Linked DNA regions of Kluyveromyces lactis. The protein of the gene in region 2 binds, or shares a complex with, the protein of the main gene of each other region. Links are inferred from orthologs where the notes say so. Each region holds a gene or a part of one and is shown on either strand. Other genes may lie near its edges.

Evidence for each region. Proteins that work in one complex are often made in the same cells at the same time.
Region 1: MRPS5 (region 2) and RSM26 share a complex: the UniProt entries of both Saccharomyces cerevisiae proteins name them as parts of the mitochondrial small ribosomal subunit. The link is inferred for Kluyveromyces lactis from reciprocal best matches to the Saccharomyces cerevisiae genes MRPS5 and RSM26.
Region 3: MRPS5 (region 2) and MRPS17 share a complex: the UniProt entries of both Saccharomyces cerevisiae proteins name them as parts of the mitochondrial small ribosomal subunit. The link is inferred for Kluyveromyces lactis from reciprocal best matches to the Saccharomyces cerevisiae genes MRPS5 and MRPS17.

Annotation. Positions count from the first base shown.
Region 1 is NC_006041.1:118,054-121,086, reverse strand, and holds RSM26 (mitochondrial 37S ribosomal protein mS42), read right to left. Parts: upstream 1,276-3,033; coding exon 514-1,275; downstream 1-513. Other genes in the region: putative DNA-dependent ATPase RAD55, read left to right, coding at 1,883-3,033. UniProt on the Saccharomyces cerevisiae protein: Component of the mitochondrial ribosome (mitoribosome), a dedicated translation machinery responsible for the synthesis of mitochondrial genome-encoded proteins, including at least some of the essential transmembrane subunits of the mitochondrial respiratory chain.
Region 2 is NC_006038.1:1,002,259-1,005,386, reverse strand, and holds MRPS5 (mitochondrial 37S ribosomal protein uS5m), read left to right. Parts: upstream 1-1,694; coding exon 1,695-2,579; downstream 2,580-3,128. Other genes in the region: cytochrome oxidase assembly protein SHY1, read left to right, coding at 2,960-3,128. UniProt on the Saccharomyces cerevisiae protein: Component of the mitochondrial ribosome (mitoribosome), a dedicated translation machinery responsible for the synthesis of mitochondrial genome-encoded proteins, including at least some of the essential transmembrane subunits of the mitochondrial respiratory chain.
Region 3 is NC_006040.1:1,091,025-1,093,682, reverse strand, and holds MRPS17 (mitochondrial 37S ribosomal protein uS17m), read right to left. Parts: upstream 1,213-2,658; coding exon 514-1,212; downstream 1-513. Other genes in the region: putative rhomboid protease RBD2, read left to right, coding at 1-314; KLLA0_D12760g (uncharacterized protein), read left to right, coding at 1,774-2,658. UniProt on the Saccharomyces cerevisiae protein: Component of the mitochondrial ribosome (mitoribosome), a dedicated translation machinery responsible for the synthesis of mitochondrial genome-encoded proteins, including at least some of the essential transmembrane subunits of the mitochondrial respiratory chain.

The DNA.
Region 1 (3,033 bases), on a different chromosome or scaffold from region 2:
CAAGAAAGAAAGAAAAACAAAAGATTAGCGATAAGCGGCTTTTAGCAGTCACAGAGTTGATTATCCATCGCCAGGTGCCTATTTCCTACTAGGAATTTTATTTAACAGAATGTACTAAACCTAACATTCCCGGCCAGTGAATATTATGATGGTTATTGCAAATACGAAAAAATAAGAACTCCTCATAGGGGGCTCGAACCCCTGACATTTCGGTTCCTTGCGAGCAATGCTTAAAAGCCGAACGCTCTACCAACTGAGCTAACAAGGACGAGTTCTCAAGTTCCTCAGAGTTTTGGAAGTATTTTATACTTGATGTTGAAGTTTTAGTTGAATACCGTTTTCCGTACCTTATCCGCTCTTGCCTATATCAACCAGAGATACGCTAATAATGAGAGAGGATTGTGAGCTATTCGCAAACGGTTATATTGCATTTGTGACTATGTACATGTAATTAAGACCCATATTTTAAAGAGAGCCAACAGTCTATTTATGATTGGAAGTACTGGTATACTCCTATTGTGTGGAGAACAATCTGTTGTTAACCGCAGACCAGTTCAAGTTATCTAAACACTTCCTTACGTAAGTGGATCTGCCCTTAATACCGTAATCATTCAAGTATGAATGGTCCCACAAACTGATCGCAATCAAAGGCATTGTCCAATCTTTAACGTCTGCATTTGCGGCAAGTAGATCTCTCATCGTTACAAACTGTTCCATTTCTTCTAAGGATAGAGCACTGTTCAAATCGAAAGATTGGTTTCTAGCAAAGTAGTATGGAGTACCATTATTTTGAACTGTTAGGATGTGAAGTTCCTTGGCATCATTTTCCACAAGGAATAGCCATCCTTGACCTAACACATCTTCTTCTGCATGTCTAACCATTTCATCCTTAAAAGCATCCCAAGTCATTGAATATTGTGATTCTAGCTTCTGTAGAAACTCACGAGATGGATGTGTAACTTGTTCCATAGGCAATATGTTTTCTATGAACAAATGGTTATTGTGCAAAGCACTAGCCAAATTGAAAATGTTTGTTTGGTATGATTTCTTCGCAGTGTGCAGTACTAAATGGAATGGCAAGTAGGATTCTGCGGCAGTTCCTGCAGATGCCAGTGTTAGCTTATCGCACAAAAGCTGCTGCTGGTCAACCCAGCAAGTTTTGAATGTGTTAGCGCTCATAACATGAGGGATGCCTGAATCCAAAAGTTGTGAAATACCAGGTATCTTTGGAACTGTGTGTATTCCTCTGAACAGTTGACGCCCAAACATTGACATTAAATATTTTTAGTTAGTTGCCTCAATTATATCAATCGTTCCGAAACTCTAGGAAGAATGTAAATAGGATGCATTGAGCAAGAAATAGTAGACTTTCTAGTTATGCATTTTAGATTCATGAATTGATACAAGTCGAAATGATTTCAATTTTTCCTGTTCGGCAATGTTGAATGCTAAGAAAAATTTTAAGATTTGAAATGTTACCCGGAACTCATTATCTTCTCTAGCTTAATGAACTAGACTAATAATCAATAAAGTCCAAATAAGATACACCCGTAGGATATAATCCGACAAGAGGTAGACAAGGAGATTCGTGGGAAGAACCTTCGAGTTTTTAATTTCAATTCTTTCAATGATTAAATTCAAGTATTATTACTCCCTCTTATCTTTTCTTATTTTATATTTTTGAATAACATAATCACAGCAAAAACCTGGTAAATAAAACAAACATTATTGAGCTGAGTTGTCTACGGACTTGATGACATTTTTTAGTTACACCTAAAGGTGAATTATGCGGATTTAAAAGGCTAGTTATACATAGTCTTGAAAGGCTTGAAGAACCAGGAGAAACTGTGGACGCGTTTGGTGATTAGTTGATAGCATTCTAATGTCATTTGGTGTACCTTTGTCTCAACTGATACAAGCGCGTGCAGATCATGTACGAAGTGGCATTGAGAGTTTAGACGATTCATTGAATGACGGATTCCAACCACAGAGTATCTACGAGGTTTACGGACCTCCAGGAATTGGCAAGACAAAGTTCGCGGTACAATTAGTGAACAATAATCAGAATAGGATGAAATGTCTGTGGATTGACACGTTCCAGCAAGTACCACTGAAGCTTATAGAGCAAGGAGATGAGGACGAAGTCCATTTCAAAGGGTGCCAATTCGCAAGAGTGAAGAAATTTGCTCAACTGTGGTACATGTTTCAGAATTTAAAAGAGACGTACGGGCTCATAATAATCGATGGTTTATCTCAGCTTTTGGTAGAGTATCTCCATATGTACGAGAAGAACAGTGGATATTCTAACCATCGACAGACCTTGCACGATTTCAAGGTGAAAAGTTTGATACAATTGCTTGTCACCATAACTAAATACGCCACTTCAAACAATACGGTGGTGGTATTACTTAATGACGCTATGAACACAGGTTACCAGGACTATTCAGACGATGCAGTTGTCTCATACAACGATCCCAGCAACGGAACCCACTCAGATGGTTCCTTTAGCAATTTCCTCGTGAAATCTCAACGGAAACGTCACGTGCAAGTGTTGAAGAGTGGATTAGTAGCAAATGCAGCCGTTGGAAGTAAAGATGCCCGTTGGGAGGTGTTTCTTCGATGCAGGATCGGTGTGTTCTGGAATTGGGATGCAGAACAAAAGCAGAATCCTAACTCCCAGAAAAGAATCATCCCCGAGGTATCACGGCAGTTTGTTGTACAACATCAACAGCCAGTGGGCTCGAAGAATAAACTGGTTTGGGTTAAGACTAATGAATCTGGGAACTTTTATAGCTGTCACACAACTATAGTCGCAGAAAACCCAACAACTGCTGTCACTGACAATCTTCTTCCTACGAACACTTCCTCAAGTGCGACAGCTGCTGCTGCTGCAGTAGCCGCAGCACCGGTGCTTCCCCCAAACAAGAGAAGACGGGTTTTATACACGGAGCCAAGTCCGAGCCGTATGCTATTAGATGTTCAAAGTCACAGTCAGCCCGTAACACCAAACTCTTCGCAATCAATCCAGTTTAC
Region 2 (3,128 bases):
CAATCAACCAAACTACGATCCCAGATCAATCATGAGTATGCTTTCGCATTGATAAAATTTAAACAGCGAAGAGCAGACAGCTTTGTTCAACGTCTGTTTGTCATTACAAAAAGTATATTCGCAACAAGTACTTCTCAAATCCGGCAGATAACACTGAAAAAAATACCTAGATAATAATATTCGGGTAACAATGAAAGTTTAAAGTGACGGAGAAGAGGAATGTGTAACGTTCTGGAATCGGAACGGTCATTTCTGGTATCTGTCGAGCATTTTATTTTTCATGCGAGGAAGAAGATCTGGCTAGAACCATTACTTCTTGTCAGAGAACGAAAACGCTGCATTAGAGAAAATATTAAGAGAATGCTACTGCACGTATTGGCAGGAAAAATAAGAGGAAAAGAAAACTTGCAAGGCCAGGTGGTTTCCTTTCTTACCATATGTATATCACTGCTGGGTAGCGTTAGTAAATGCATTAGTTTGTCAATCTACCTGCGGCATGGAATTTTCACATGACGCACAAGTAAATCACTATTGATGTCGCATTGCCACTAGGGATTGGTTCCAGAAAACATAACTTCTTCCGAATTGATTTCAGATTCTACCTCCATCCATGTGAACGAGTATTTCGTTCCAATATTTTTATATAAATTAACGAGTAACTTATATGGTAATCTTGTCAGATAAGTGGAGTTGATTTCATTTGGAAAGAGAACCAACAGGATTGGTATGTCTCATATGAATTTATTCTCGGACCAAAATTGAGAAAGAAAACATCTGCAGTTTTTCAAAAATTCAGGCATTTTGGGATTACTCTCTCTTCATGCAGGGCAAGACACCAGATCATCTTTATTCTATTGGTCTTCATGTTCCTGCATAACTAAATACTATTTGTATTTAGTTCATTATTTCCTGTAGATAAAGAATCTTTCTAAATGGGTTTTAAAACATAGTAAAATATATACCTAAAAGAAGAGTCTTCGTGATATGAATGTTTCATCTTTAAGGTACTGAAAGGATATGGTACTAATATTGATTCTAATGACAACAAAGCCCGTGTATAACATTGCCAGCTGAAACATGTTGCTCCACTATGTATCAGAAGAATATGTAGTGTTTTGAAAAAAGATCTTCTCTGGAAATTGTATATAGCGATACTAAACCACTAATATAGATGTTTTAGTGACCGGCTTTATTAAAGCAGGTAAGTCGTTGTTTAAGCGACAGAGCTCAATATTGGATGAAACAGACTCAGAAATGAAACAAAAAAACATGTTACCCGGATAGCATTCCATATGATAGTGTCATCTACCATGTAAGGGTAAAGATGCGTGGAACATACCTGAAACATACTCCATGTATCCTCCTTTGAACGTCTGAAGAAGATTTTAAAGATGTGCAACCACTGCTAATCTTACCATACCTTAGTGGGTGGATCTTCAGCTAAGAATTGTGAATTTCTAATCACATGATCAAGAATAATGCTCTCTCATTTGTAACGATTGATCGATTTTCAAAAATTAAAAAAATTTCAATAGTTAATACAGAATGGCAACATACTCAGACATATACACCAGAATAAGGTCTAATATAATTGACACCAGAAGTCTTTTGAAGCAGGTTTAGACAGGTCGAGGAGCAAAATTCAACATAGTGAGTTGCAGCGTCTTTCTCAATAACCCTGATCGTATTTGAGAATGTTCGTCCGTTGTTTCTCGAGCACTGCTCGTGTATTTCAACAAGACCTGTTGAAGAAATACTACTCTCCAGAACTACTCAAGTCTATTTCCTTAGCTGATAAAGTAATTCCTGACAATGTAGAGTTCAAACCACAGACAAATGTTGAATTCTCACCACCATATTTGGATAACTTTGCCACATTACATCCTTATTGGGATTATAAACCAAACTCTCCACATCTACATTCAAGCTCATCTTCGGTATTCGTTCAAGAGATGGAAAAGCATCCAGATTTGACTCCTCCTGTGGGTTCATACTTACAAACTGAAGGCAGATCAGATATACAAAACATTGCCAATAATATCCAACTACAGACGGGGTTCGATGCTCAACATATCGCCAGAAAACTAGTGATGAAACCATTGATCTTAAAGATGGTTTCTAATCAAACTGCAAAAGGTAAAATTCCATCCTTCTATTCTCTTGTGGTTGTTGGTGATAAGAATGGTATGGTAGGAATCGGTGAGGGTAAATCCCGTGAAGATATGGCAGAATCCATCAAGAAAGCTCATTGGGATGCAGTGAGGAACTTAAAAGAAGTGCCTAGATTTGAAAAAAGAACTATTTTTGAAGACATAGACTATAGATACCACGGTGTGAAACTATTCTTGAGAGCTGCTAAGCCAGGTTTCGGTCTAAGAGTCAATCACGTAATTTATGAAATTTGTGAATGTGCTGGTATCAAAGATTTAAGTGCAAAAGTTTACAAGAGTAGAAATATCATGAACATAGCCAAGGGTACTATAGACGCTATCACCAAGTCTCAAAAATCTATAGATGAAATTGCTCTAGGTAGAGGTAAGAAAATTGTGGATGTCAAGAAGGTATATTACTCTGCTTGATTTCAACCAACTCCATATTTAAATTACTTTCACTTTTTCTCCTATGAAGAAACTATCTGAACAACCTTCACATGATTCAATTACGACCTAGATGATCATTCTCATAAAACAATCAATACTCAGATCTACGTAACCTTGTACATATTAATATCCCCACAACGTCGGAGTTCCAAATTCTTCTTCACGTGACTTTTAGAATATTTCACACTTTTCTGATCTTTAAAAGATTGGAAAATGAAGATGATGAAAGCAGATGAGTAGTATATCTAATCGCGTATAAACATGATTAGAAAAGCTTTAACTTCTTTGCTGTTACTAATTGTTCAAACGCATTTCAATTCTTAGCGGAAGCTACTAGTATCACACAATTAGCAAAGCATATGTTTCGCTTCATTGTGGCTAGGCCATTCACTGTACCAAAGGTAAGGCCGGTAAGACGACTTTATAGCACGGTCAGGACATCGACTGTTGACTGGAAACCTATCAAAACAAAGAAGACACCTACTGAAGGATTTCAAAAGAAGGAATCACGATGGGGTAAGCGTATTT
Region 3 (2,658 bases), on a different chromosome or scaffold from region 2:
CTCTATTGGCGCCTGGTTCTAGTCTACCAGGTCATGCAATTGGGTTACTATTAGGATACTTCATGGGGTTGAAAGAGAATTGGGTAGCCAAGATTACTCCACCAAGCTTTGTATTGAAGAAAATTGAAACATGGGTCGATCCATTGATCAATCTGATCCCATTCGGTATTAAGTACTATAGGGAAGTTGAAGTGGACAGATCACTTGAATATACTTCCGTTTACCTGGGGTCAGAATCCAGATTGCCCTTGCATAATACGGATACTCCAGCGGAGCCCACATTTCAAGGAAACGGAAGAGTCTTGGGAAATTGAAATGTGAATCCTCAGAAATTAGATACTAGAGATTTAAATCATCTGCTGTTCTTCTTCTTTTTCTTCAAACCCAACTTTTGAAATATTGATAATTATATTTACATGCGTGTTACTTCGATGCGGCGGGGAGAATTATATTCATTCTATATACATAGGGAAACATCCTTTTTAATTATTTTCTGTCATTCCTCTTTTTCTCTCATACGTTGAGTTCCTCGAGTATGTGCTTTCTCAAGATGTTCTTCTTGATATTCTTCTTCAACAGTTGAGGATTCTCCAAACCTTTCGATAGTAAAAATTCATTAGCCAAGGATTCGTTCTTGGTATACTCTGCCAATTTTTCTGTAATAGCATCGATCTTCTGCTGCTGTTGTTTCACTTGGGTTTCAATCTTGAGAATATCCAACTGTAATATTTGCTTCAAGGATTCCGGACTAAACTTATCAATTCCGTAACGGCTCTTAATCTCTTTAACTGCGGCAGAATCCTCGGTACCATCTGTATAAGCCTTCTGTAATACACGAACATCATTCAAAAGTGTCGATTCCACACCCTGTTTACGTTCTCTCCTTTCTAAAAAGGCCTTAGTCTTCTCGTTTTCCTCGCTGGCAACGTTGATCTTGGCCTGTTCTTGGAATAAAGCAAATTGTTGACCTTTATTTCTGATAATTTCAGCAACGGAAAAAAACTTTCTCTTGGACAAAGGTCTCGTAGCTTCAATACGTACTAAATCCCCTTCACGAGAAACCTCAGATTCATCATGAACCAAATAATCCTTCCTATGGAACAACTCTTTGTTGATTCTCTTATCGAAAACTTTGGTCTCAACACGAACTTTCACAGTCTTCTGCATCTTCCCTTGGGAGATGACCATCCCAATAAAATTTTGACGAGCCATGGTTGAAGGTGGGCTAATTTATTCTTGGATAGTGGTATCGACGAACCAATTGACACAGAGCTAACTAGACTGCTCTATTGTTCTTTTAACAGCATCGACCTAACCGTTCATGGCCTCAAGGCTTTAAAATTTTTTGATGTTGGAAAGATCACCACCGTTTCTAATGATAGATCACGTGATTTAGTTCTTCACCAAGAATATGGAGGTATGAGGTTAGTCTTGGGTTTTATAGAACTAAACTACTTCTTAGCACACTTGGCCCAGTTTGAAACGTCCGTGGGTAGATTAGAATGTTATAAGGCAATGTGGGACGCTAAATGTCCCTTTTTCATGTTCCTGTTGCTCTTGAGAATGGCAAACGGCTTAACATTCTGGCCATAAAAATTAAAGGATTGGTCTGTTTTAGAATCTTCACATGACCTTAAATATCGAAACTAACCGAGAGAAGGGGTTTGAAGGGGTCTACGATACCAGAAAGACCAATCAAAACACTGCGATATACATTTAAATTACAGAGGATTTCTATTTCAAAGATTTTTCAAGGAAAACTAGCCATTAATCATGGATTATCGAAATAGTAAAAGGTCCAGTATCTCATTTGGAAGCTATCAAAGGCAACTGAACCTGTTAGACAATGTAGGGAACAACGGAGTTAATTTCTACCAGCGACCAAACCAAGGCCATTCTCAACAGTTACAACATGGGCAGCAACAGCAGCAACAGCAACAGTTGGGACTGGGGAGTGGGAATAGTAACTATACATTGGACAAGCTAAAAACGGTAACGACATGTCAGTACCAGTCCAGCGCTCCACTTTTCGCGCTTTCTTGGAATCAGAACGATCAATGTGCCCTGGGGACATATAAGGAAGATTCCTACAATAGAATAGAGATCATCAACGGATCGAACGATTATTCTACATGGGAATGTACCAACGTTGCTAACGTGGTTTATCCTATATCCAGGATCCAATGGATGCCTCAAAACAATACAAGACTAGCAACATGCTCGGATTCCCTAAGGATATGGTCGTTGGATGGCAGTTTACAGGAACAGATCAACCTTTCTTTATACAAATACGGGAAACACCCTAGTTCTGCGTCTCAAAAGGATACTGTCACGTTGGGCCAACTCCCACCCGTCACATCGTTCCATTGGAGTCCCATCTCCCCTAACCTACTATTATCGTGTAGCATCGACACGACGTGTACCGTATGGGATCTTTCGAACTCTACCAACTACGTAAAGACGCAATTGATTGCACATGATAGCGAAGTGTTCGACGTGAAATTCTTGGCACAATCGACGCAGTTGTTTGCCAGCTGCGGTGGTGATGGATCCGTCAGAGTGTTTGACCTCAGATCACTGGCACACAGTACCATCGTGTACGATCACGGGAACGAGACTTCACGCGGCTCCAGCGGTGGTGGAGCAGCAGCAGCAGAT